Linked DNA regions of Schizosaccharomyces pombe. Changing the gene in region 2 together with the main gene of any one other region gives a genetic interaction. Each region holds a gene or a part of one and is shown on either strand. Other genes may lie near its edges.

Region 1 (3,973 bases), 650 kb from region 2:
CTAAGACACAATCATTAATATACCAGCAAGCACTTCGTTATCTTTTTTTTTTTTTTTTTTGTGATACTGTATTACTTAGAATTTATTTGAAAAAAATGTTTCTATCATATCGAATGTTTAAGATGTAGGTGTTCTTACGTTTATACCTCGTATATCATTGACTTTATTCTATTGACTTCAATATATGATATTAGATTACAATTCAGTGATTGAAACAGAGGCTGAATTCCAATTGTTTATTTCATTTTTTGGCTAACGGATTTGTTGAATTGGGGTGCAGTCTAAACTACAAAGACTCAAACCAGCTGACTCAATAATGTAATATTAAATTTTCAGCATTAAGCTTAAAAAATGATATTCATCACCCCAGTTTCTGAATTCAGGTTTGAAGTTCGATCAAATGAGGATTAATGTTTGAAAACCGAGCATTTTGCAATCTACTTTAAATTACCTTCAGAAAGCGACTAAACAATCTTGTGCGTTGAAAGTTAGCTTAAAAAAGTTACAATTAAAATTTAACTTAATTACTTTTTAAATTTATGATGTCCTAAACAAATCAATATTGCTAAAATAACCAAATTCCATAAACAAGAATTAAATAAGTGCAGAATTAAAAATGAGAGACCAATAAGAAGAGTTAAGGGGATAATCTTTAGTACAAGTTGACCTATATACATGATATTGGGGAAGTGAAGTAGAGCAATGAATTTTGAATAATCATAAAAAGTAGTCGGCAATGGGTCGTTTTGTTGGAATGCCAGATCTTTCTTGAGAGGCAGTACCAAAAATCTTAAAGGATTGCGTTTGGTTTTCATCAAGTTGTAATATAGAAGCAACATTTCCACATCTGTAACAGTAATTGGGTGCACTCCAAACAGTAACCACGCTTCCTTTATCCTTTTCTGGAATGGTTATTATGTCTCCAGGTGCCGGAGAATCATCAACAGGTGAGGCAGAATCTGAATCCAGCTCAGAGTCCTCTTCATTTGTAAATTTGGGATACTGTTTATCTTTATCGGAAAAATGGATTTTGTAACCCTCCATAACCAATTGATGAGCACGAGCAATGAATGAAAGGTCATTAGCGCGATTAAAAACTTCAGAAACGTCGGCACCAAACAAAAATCCAGCACCTCTGGGAGATAAACCCCATCCACTAATATCTTCTGGATCTGACCAAAGTAGATCACACATTGCTCCTTCATGCGGAACTTCTTGTTTTCGATCCAACAGTCGAATCTTCATAAAAAGCGTTAAAAGTTTAGTTCAAATTTTCGGAATTAATAACATACCTGATCGATACTGCTGATGCTTGGTGAAAGTCCACCGTGCACACAAAAAACCTTTCCATCCACCAAAGCACCAAGCGAAAGATAATCAAATATTTCACAACAATATCGCCATACATTGGCAGAACCATATTTCCTTACACATTCGTCATAAAATCCATAAACTTGTGTTATTTGTCGTGATTCATGATTTCCCCGGATAAGGGTCATCTCTTTCGGATATTTACATTTTAAAGTCAATAACAGGAGAAATGTTTCTACAGAGTAAAACCCTCTATCAACAAAATCCCCTAGAAATAAATATTTTGTACCTGGACATGACCCACCAATTCGAAAAAGCTCCAGTAAATCATGCAATTGGCCATGGATATCACCACAAATGGTTACAGGAGATGAGATCCATTGTATGTTAGATTCCTCAATTAAAATATCTCTTACACGCTGACAAAGTTCAACAACTACCACAAAACGTTAGACCCCATTCTTATAATTATGGCAAAGAACAACCAATATGAATGATCGTTGTTATATCGACGGAGATAAAAGTTATTCTATAAATACTATTATACATACCATTTGATTCTGGAATTAACCTTCCGTTCTCCAGTTCCTCAAGTTGCCAATCCAAATCTAAATCAGTCATTTTGAACTCGTCAAAACATAAAGTAAAGAAAACTAGAATAACTTGGTCCTTTAGAATAAGAAAATAAACAAGTGAAATTCTTTTTCAACTTTATGTATCATTTAAGAAATTTAATTTTAAATAAGTCAAAATACCTCTGTCAAGAGGTATGACGCGTAGAGCTTTGGTGACTAAAATTCGGTTTTCCTTTTGATAATGACTTTTAAAATAATTAACATGACCTCCTTAATTAGCAGCTTCCGAATTTTATTGACACATACGTTGCGTTACGCTAGATTGTTTTTCAGAAAAATACGGTTGCTCCACCATTATTAGTGCTTTCATCTCGAAATGAAATGGACACAAGTTTTTGTATTAGATTGTTTTTTTTTAATCATTTATACTTAAAATTAATGATGAACTAGAATCTTTTAATTAAGTTGCATGCTACTCCAGTATGATTATTATAGCATGCCGTATTATCATTGATCTTGAGTTTTTATAACGCTAATACAAGAACGTGCACCTACTCATATATATATCTAGATTATAAGAAAAACTCCTATAGTTCTAACGGATCTAAATTGTTCGCACAAATGCGCAGCTTTGATGTTATAGGGTTTTTGTGAAATAAACTACATAACACTATAGCTTCTTGGTAAAAATCAGATAACACTCACAATTATAGGTAAAATAATCTGTATGCTGAAGGCGTACCCCTGTGGCGGAATATACACTCAATATAGAAAAACTGTATAGTCAATTCGTGTTGCAAACCCATAATTTATGTGAAGCTTTAACATAATTTGCATACTATTCTTTACTTATGTTCAGTCGGCAACTCAAGATGTTCAAATAACTAAAAAGATTTTAGAAATATATTCTTTCTATCTTTCAATATGGTTTACTGCAATTTGCGTACTATCAAAAGAATGAGGTGTGTAAGAAATGCTTGCCCTGAGCAGTACAATGCAATTTTTTAATACTTTAACTATATCAATCAATGTGTATGCTGTTGTTTTTATCAAGTATGAAACATATCTCATCTTGGTTGTTTTGGTCGCTTGTTATAAACTCATTTGGCTAGTAAAGCGACTGTTAATTTTATGTACAACATACAAAAATAAAATGTTAACAGAATTGTTTGGGTATTACGTAGAATCGGAGTATAAGCGCAACACACTAGTTTTTTTTGCCGAAAAAATTATTTTCCAGACGTTTTAATACCGAGGGATAAAGTTATCTGATCAGTCACGATGGTAATTAAAAAAATGAGATCGAGAATGCCGTTTAATGAATAGACAATGAAAAAAGTGAAGAAGAATCATCAAAACGTACATCAAAAGTGGTTTAACTAAAAAATTTCGAGTAATTTACTTGGATATGTTTTTTGCTGCAATTATATCATTTGCGTCGCCTATTGTGCAAGGAAGAGATTTTACTAGATACGTTTTCTACACTGCTCAGCCGAACCTGCCGACAACCAACTAGGAAAAAATAGGGCGTTGATTGTTGATTAAAAAGAATAAACTAGGTTTTTGAAAAAAAAAGTAGGAAAAGAAATAATTCCTCAAGCTGTGCTATTTTGATTGGAAATGAGCGTCGAAATTACTTTTGTTGAACAATTTCAAGAGATATTGCAAAATGGAAAAGAGCAAATAATTTTACTCAATTTTTATGCACCATGGGCTGCTCCATGCAAGCAAATGAACCAAGTCTTTGATCAATTTGCAAAGGACACGAAAAATGCCGTTTTCTTAAAAATTGAAGCTGAAAAATTTTCCGATATAGCAGAGTCGTTTGATGTAAACGCTGTTCCTCTATTTGTTTTAATCCACGGAGCAAAAGTTTTGGCTAGAATTTCGGGGGCAAATCCTCAAAAATTGAAGGCTGCTATTGACGAGTATATTCAACCCCTTATCTCCCAAATATCCTCTACCAACGCGTCCGTGGAAACTCAAGTAAATTCCGTTCAGACTACCAACACTACTTCCAATACCTCTAAAGCTCCAAATGGGTTGGATTCTGAACTAAATGAAAGGTTGAGCACGCTAACAAATGC
Region 2 (3,179 bases):
CCCTGGGTAAATCTGTTCATGCTAACAAGCAGAATTAATTGATAAATGCATTGGATCAAACTTATGGGTGATCATGAAAAGTGAACGCGAATTTGCGGGGACACTTGTTGGATTCGATGATTATGTGAATATTGTTCTAAAAGATGTTACAGAATAGTATGAAATATAATAACTTTAATTATCTTTGCTAATTTCTATGAAGTGATACTGTTACCGGCGTTACCGAAAAACACTCTGAAATGCTTTTGAACGGAAATGGGATGTGCATGGTATGTCAATGAAAATAATAAAGGAATTTTTGTACACTAACTATCTAGTTGATTCCTGGTGGAAAACCCGAATAAGTTGGTACTTGGCTATTTAACAGTCTTTTGAAGATGAAGGAAGAGTGATTTTTGTTATTATCAAACAAATGGAGATATATTGCACGCCAAATCTAGCTCATACTGTGTGCACTCCATATATGGTAAAATATCTAGACCCAAGTCTCACTTTTTACATTAATTGAACAACAAGCGTTGGTAAAGCCATGTCTTCGGATACGGTTAAATTTGATCGAGTTATTTAAAGAATTTGATTGCAAAAATAAGGTATTTTATAGGACTGGTTGCATGTTTCTGAAATGAGTGATTATTCAAAAATAAAGGCTTAATACTTCCATCCTCCATAATTTTTCCTATTAGTGATTGTATCTCAAATTATACTACCAAAATGAATTGTTATTTCAGATGATGTAAACTGTGTTAAAGTTAATTGTTTGAATGTAATCTGACTGTAGAAATTGGCATAAACGGGATATGCATAGCCTACGATGATAGCAATTTTTCTTCTAATTTGAAAGACAACATACTAAACATTGATTTGAGTAGCCTTTACAGGATCTTACTATTCAAGTTATCTCTTCCAGCCCATCTGGTTGAATCATACTGACTTTTTTTTGTTCATGTTGGCCAAAATGGGGATTTATTATGATTATACACTGGAAAAAGTATGAATATTTGTTGTTTATCATTAATATAAACTAAAGTGACTAACCTTGTTATTGTAAACTCAAAATTTTGAGAATTAGTATCTTCAGCAGTTTTATGAAGGAAACGAAAAAGTAAAATTAAAATGAAAACGAAGTTTAATACTTTGGATTTATATATCTCATCATTTATACATTTGGATTATTAAGAAATTTTTGAATCCTCTCTTCCCTTATCCCTAAATAGTTAGAGAAAAACGACAAAACTCAGCTAAAACCATTAAACTTTTTCGTTTTAAATTCCAATCTCGTTGCTTTTAGGACTTGACTTTTTACATAGATGAAAATCACTATCGTAATGCTTTTGCTTTTTTTCTTTGATTTCTTTTTTTTGGCAGATTACAGCCGTCTTTCAATATAAACGCTATATTACTACAGTCTTTGTAAATATTATCTACTTGGTGCGCAGGCCAACCCGATTATATACTTTGATTTAAATCCCATTTAGCCTTAGAATTTTCGTAACAATAGCTCTGGACTCCTAGTAAAACTGTATTGCTTCCTGTATATTTGAATCATAACTCTTTTTTTTAAAAATTAATCGATTTTGAATCAACTAAACTGATTCTTGCGAATAATACGGATTTTAAATTGAGATATAAAAAGTTAATTTATTAATCCTTTTACATTCATCTATCTACTTGAATCAAGAAAAAGTACTATGAAGAAACGCTCGTGATTTAATCTGCAATGTTTACAGTCGAGTTTGTTACATTTCACTAGTGCTTCATAAAAAATTAGCGATCTAAATAAGTGCACGCAACGTTGTATTCCGGTTGACAAGAACACGCAAGATTTCGCAATAACTTAAAGTCTAGGATTGGCGTCACAGACAGTAAAGACGTATTCGTCCATTTACCAAACATTTTTATAATAGTCCTATGTCCTTGGCGTTTACGCTTTTAACCTCAAAAGATAACACAGATGAAGATGAAGAACACTTGGAGCTTTCTTCTTTTAATCAAGAAAAGCTCTTGGAAATGATATCTGTGTTTCTCTCGCGTCTAACGCGTTTGAACGATAGCAAGCAGGAAGCTACTGAATCAGATCAAATACCATTATCTCCAACAAGTTTAAAGAACCCTTGTTTGATATTTTCTGCAAAAAATGTGCCTTCCATATCTATTCAGGCTTATCTAACACGAATCTTAAAGTACTGTCCTGCAACTAACGATGTATTTTTAAGTGTTTTGATTTACCTTGACAGAATTGTTCATCATTTTCATTTCACTGTCTTTATCAACAGCTTTAATATTCATCGTTTCTTAATCGCTGGGTTTACGGCCGCAAGCAAATTTTTCAGCGATGTCTTCTATACTAACAGTCGCTATGCAAAAGTTGGTGGTATTCCCTTGCACGAATTAAATCATCTGGAGTTATCTTTTTTTGTGTTTAATGATTTCAATCTTTTTATATCTTTGGAGGACCTTCAAGCATACGGTGATCTTCTACTTTCATGGTATCGGCAAAATGGGCAGAATTACAACCCTACCGATGTTTCATGCTCTATTGAATCTCCCATTTCCCATACTCCGCAACAAAATCAACAAGATGAACAGCCACGTCGGCCCATAATGGATCGAAGGTTACTCTCTTCTCACTCAATTGGTTAAATTTACTACTGTGTTTGGTCCTCCAAATTTTTTTTTGCTTCCATCTATTTATCTTTATTTTCTGTTGAAAATATTTAATCTGATTATTTAAAACTTGGAAAAGTTACCTTGGTGCCTTTTGTCTGTATATATATATATTTCATTCTGCTGTGTCAATGTGGATACGACTAGTTTCTGAATTTTCAAGTGGCCTTTAAATTTTGTACTTGTATATGCTATTTCTCCTTTGTCTCTTATTTAATGTTTTTATCTCAAAACATGCCGTTTCATGAAATTCTCATTTATTACATTCGGATTATCTGACTTGCAATAAGGTTTTTGGAATTTGGAAATTGCATGCTACTTTTGTATTCGGTATTCTACTTTACGATGCTTACAACGCTTACGGTATATTGTGCTTTGGTTCCTTGTTTAAGTTAAGGCTGTTGTAAAGGTCCGCTATGATCAAAGTCCTTAGCTTACTCCGCTATCCCTGTTCCATTTGTTCCTTTCTCTTCACGTTGCAATTTGTTTATTTCTGCCGCCTACTCTGCAGTTGT
Region 3 (4,510 bases), 1.6 Mb from region 2:
ATCAAGTATAAGAGATTATATAAATCCGTTATCTCACTAGTAGACATACGACGAATGCGCAATAAAACTAGGTAATCATAACAAACAGTTTGGGAGTTGGAAAATCGCAATAAAAAATTTTATGCTTAATCCTTAGAAAACAGCAAGCAAAGGTTTCTCATTTAAGTATCAAAAGGAGAAAAAATAAACAAAATAAGGACAAAAACGATGCCCGAAGTAAAATCTTTGCTAATGAAACAGAAAAATAAACTCAAAGCATCCATGGGCCTTTTCATCTATTCACAATGTATTTCTTGATGAAGCTAGTTGTATAAGTAGACTACTAATTTTTGAAGGCGAACTTTAAAAAGGAAATCCGCGATCCCTATAGTAGTAGCGGATGTATATACATCAAGCAGTATTAACAAATCAGAATTGCATCAAAAGATATTCCAATAGATAACAAAGCCACACGAGAAAGCAAAATAAAAGTCCAACGACAAAAATAAAACAGATACTGATAAGAAGTTGGTTCCTTTTTTTCGGTATACTACTTTTCAATTTTTTTTGGGAAATTTTTTTTTTCTCTGTTAAAATTTGAAAAAATAAGAAAGTAGAAAAGCAAGATCAAACGGCAAATTAATTTCAAGAGAGCCGAATTCATCACGGAGATGATTAGAGAATACAATATGACGGGTTAAACAAAAGTTCCCGTCATACAATATGAAAAGAGAAAAAAGTTACAAGAATAACAAAAACACGTAAAGTGTTTATAAGCGCAAGGAAACGAAAAACAAACCCCGTCAAGCAACAACACCCGCAGAAAGTAAGCACGATCACTAAGTCATTGCATAGCGATTGTACACTGGATAATATCCCACGGGTGTATAGGGATAATAGTAGTTGCAATTAGAGCAAGAACGTCCAGAAGAGGGCGATGGTGGTGCGTTGGTGCTCAACGTAGTAGGGCTATAAGTTTTTTGTTCACCAGAGTATGTAGCGTTTGAGGAAGTAAACAAAGAATAAGAAGCACTCCACCACTCCCATGCCTTTTGACCACGAGGACCGGGACTAAGATTCCAGGACATGCTAGCTAGCCAGTCTTGTTCAAAGCTGTTCAACAAGGCAGTACGGAAACCAGTAACTTGCGACCAGGATTGATTGGTAAACGTATTGTCATCCAAAAACTTATTAGCCAAAATCAAGGCGGTCGTTAAAAGAGCACATATTTGGAAGAATAACGACTCCTTAGTCCACTGGTTTACAAAATCAGTCGTTTGAGATGCGGCGTCAAGACGATCGGAAAGGTATGACAAGGCAAGCAAGCAAGAGGCACGAGGTAAACGCGTAGACGTCAAAATTTGTGTAACGACCTTACGGAAAGAAAACACAAGACCAGGTAAAGAGTTAGCAAGAGAATGCATTTGAGCATTATTCAGGAAACGAGCATACAACTTACAAGTCATGATAGACAAGTATTCCACCATTTGATCCATCTTGTAATCCAGTTTAGCAGCAACACCTCCGGTATAAACGGTTTCTTCCTGATCCTCCATGTTAGTTTTGCAGACAGGAGAAATACGTTGTTGAACGTTAGCAACCGAAGGCATGTTAAGATTACCTGGGATTGTATTATCAGTCTCGGAGGTAGTAGTGGCGGTATTGTTGGTTACAGGCACATCTGCTACGGGATGTCGAGACTGATAAAAGGAAGGAGCACAATTGTTAGCAATCAAAGGGGCGGAAACGTTGTTACATGCAGCTGATACATTCACCGAATTGCCAAATTGATCTTGGTTAGGATTATAGGCAACGGCAGAGTCAGGCATATAGCGTTGCTGGGAGGGTGGTGGAGGTGCGGCAGATGGAACCGACTGATAAGATGGCCAGTAATAGTTTAGAGGCGCAGAAGGGTAGAGACGTGGTTGAGGTTGCTGTAAACGGTGCTGCGACAGAAGGGAAGGAACAGCGGAAGGATGATGAGAGGAGGAAGGGATGGAGAAGCCCGACCTTACCGAAAGCGTATCGGGCACAGAAACGCCAGGTAAGAAGGACGGACGACGCTGGCCAAGACCATACATAGGAGCATGACTCAACAAAGCAGCAACCGAAGAAGCAGAGTTTGCACTATTGCTGGACGAAACAGGAGCAAACATACTCAAGCCGGGGGCAGCCAAAGGAGGCTGAACTTGAGAACGTGAAGTGTGCTGATAAGGAAACGACATTGCTGAAGAATTTCGAAAAGGAAAGCAAATTGAAGAATTAAAAAAAAAATTTTTAACTCCTTTGCTATTCTACCTAATCAAGTCTTTTTCGAGTTTTGTAATCGATTTCTTGAGTACTCCTTTCAAGGAAAGAAGAATACAAAGGAAGAACGATAAAAAAAAATGAAAAAGAGATAAAGAATGCTCAACAATAAGAAATTTACCCAAGAGACAGGAAAAAGACTTATTAACACTCACTTCTAGCAAAACCCGACCAAGGAATGCTTGTTTCGCTGGCAAATAGACGAGGCTTAGTAAAAAGCTCGACTTCTGCAAAAAAACTGCTAATATAGAAGGAAAAAAATAGGATTGAACCCTCCAAACTAAATTTTACGGTGGTTGGTTGTGCGCAGGTTCTGAAAAGCTGGTAACGCAGTTGAAAATGCTTGCAACTTAGGAAAGAGAATTTTTTAGGAATAAAAAATTTCACTTTGTTAAGCACTGAAAAATAGCGTAGCGTTGAAGATTATTCAGCAAGAAAGTTAAACCCAAATTAAGATATCTAACGTAATAGATCGGTTAGATAACTTTATGGATTTTAATTAGCAATTGCCGGTGAGGAAAATTGGGAGCGAGGTAAACAAACAATGGGACAAGCAGGAAAAAAATCAAAGAAAAATAAGTTAAACGTAGCAAGACAAACAATAAGTATGTAAAGAGGAGAATTTGAAAGTTATCTAAATAAAGAAACAACTTGAGAAGTAAAAATCGAGTAGAAAGTGAAATGAAATGGAAGGAGCAATTAAAGAGGAGAGAATAAACAAGAACTGAGTATGATAGACGAAAAGTAGACGGAAAAAAGAAATTAAAGAGACAAGAGAAAATCAACTGGTGGATGTCTTTGTCGTATAAGAAAAGATGTATAAATAGAAATCAAAGATTAAAAAGGGAGGTAATGTTTACTTCAGCAAGTTGAGAAAAAAAAATTCAACAATTAGCTTTTCGAGACAATTTGGAGTGAAACGAAAAAAAAAGTAAAAAATAACAGTAAACAACAAAAACTGAAAAAAAAGGGGAGATGAAGAGCGAGTAAAGAAATCGGGTTTGTAATTATAAAAGGATAAGTAGGGATGAGCGATTAGATGAATGAAAAAACAGAGAGAGAGAGAGAGAGAGAAAAAGAAAAAAAAAAGGATTAAAAAGTAAAAGAAAAAGAAAAACAGACTACAAAATGTAAGCTGAAAAAAAAAAAAAAAAAAAAAAAAAAGTTGTTCAAGTCTCAAGACAGTATACAGTACGCAAACTTTTTTGAATAAGGGCTAACCAAAGCACTGAGTGAAGAGTGTATTGGCAGTTGGGGGGGAAGCCGTAGAAAGAAAGCAAGGCAGATGCTTTATATATATATATATATATATAACTATATGTACTTGAGTAAATAAATAAAAAGATGCGCGCATAAATACAATTGTAGCAGCGAAAGAAGAAAACGTAAACAAACAAACCAATGAAAAATTAGGAAACCAATGACAGCATGAATACTCAGGAAAATGAGAGAGAGAAAACGAAATTAAAAGAGGAGAGTGAAGGCACAGTAAAAGGAAAGGGAAACAAAATAACAAAGCAAAGCCAAAACAAAAACAAACGATGCTAGAAAAGAAGAAGGCGCGAAATCAAGGGCGCGCAAAAGAACAATTAAGAGTGTAGAGAAGAAAACGCGTGAAATTAAAAAATAAAAGGAAGAGAGGAAATGGGGAGGAAGGAAGGAGAAAACGCAAGCAAAGTTTGTTGATGTATATAGGCAAAAAGCCGTCGGAGCCAGAATGAGCATTAACGGAGCACATGAGAGGGAGACAAACCTTGTTGAGTGGAGAGTGGAAGGAGGGAAATGGAGGAAATCGTTAAATGGGATAATGAAAGAGAGAGAGAGAGAATAAGAAAAAAGAGCGAGGAAGAGTGGAGTGGTTGAGGGGAATAGTGGGGTGAAAGGAGGAGGAAGGAAGAAGGAAGGGAATGCAGGGAGTGATCGTTAAAGATTTGGAAGAGAGTGGTTGAATGAAACGGTGAATACGATAGTGAAATAGAAGGAGTCGATATGAGACTACGTGGATTGTCTTGTCTTACTAGTTCTAGGTAAACATCTGTAGCAAAAGATTGGTTCCTGCTGTTTGAAAATCATTTCATTTATTGGAGAATACGGTGGAGAAAGGAAGATCGCTAATAAGAAAAGGGAGAGGAAATTATCATAGGTTATGTTTGTTTTATTTTACATTGATCTATTGAAAGAAGGAGGTGCAGAGCGATTCTTGAAAAGGTCGTTTACGGTACTA

What was found. Genes that interact genetically often act in the same process or in processes that back each other up.
Region 1: of psl1 (region 2) and pph3, a mutation in one rescues a mutant of the other (synthetic rescue), as found in Schizosaccharomyces pombe (one study listed by BioGRID).
Region 3: of psl1 (region 2) and clg1, changing one suppresses a phenotype caused by changing the other (phenotypic suppression), as found in Schizosaccharomyces pombe (one study listed by BioGRID).

The regions. Positions count from the first base shown.
Region 1 is NC_003423.3:3,953,998-3,957,970, forward strand, and holds pph3 (serine/threonine protein phosphatase), read right to left. Parts: upstream 2,090-3,973; 5' UTR 1,933-2,089; coding exon 1,863-1,932; exon of another isoform or gene 1,748-1,862; coding exon 1,293-1,747; exon of another isoform or gene 1,259-1,292; intron 1,240-1,258; coding exon 718-1,239; 3' UTR 555-717; downstream 1-554. Other genes in the region: CIA machinery monothiol glutaredoxin Grx4, read left to right, coding at 3,507-3,973.
Region 2 is NC_003423.3:3,301,398-3,304,576, forward strand, and holds psl1 (pho85 family cyclin), read left to right. Parts: upstream 1-1,884; 5' UTR 1,885-1,908; coding exon 1,909-2,640; downstream 2,641-3,179. Other genes in the region: U6 snRNP-associated protein Lsm5, read left to right, coding at 33-156, 203-269, 318-344. UniProt on the Schizosaccharomyces pombe protein: Cyclin partner of the cyclin-dependent kinase (CDK) pef1 (PHO85 homolog).
Region 3 is NC_003423.3:1,745,223-1,749,732, forward strand, and holds clg1 (cyclin Clg1), read right to left. Parts: upstream 2,595-4,510; 5' UTR 2,205-2,594; coding exon 819-2,204; 3' UTR 555-818; downstream 1-554.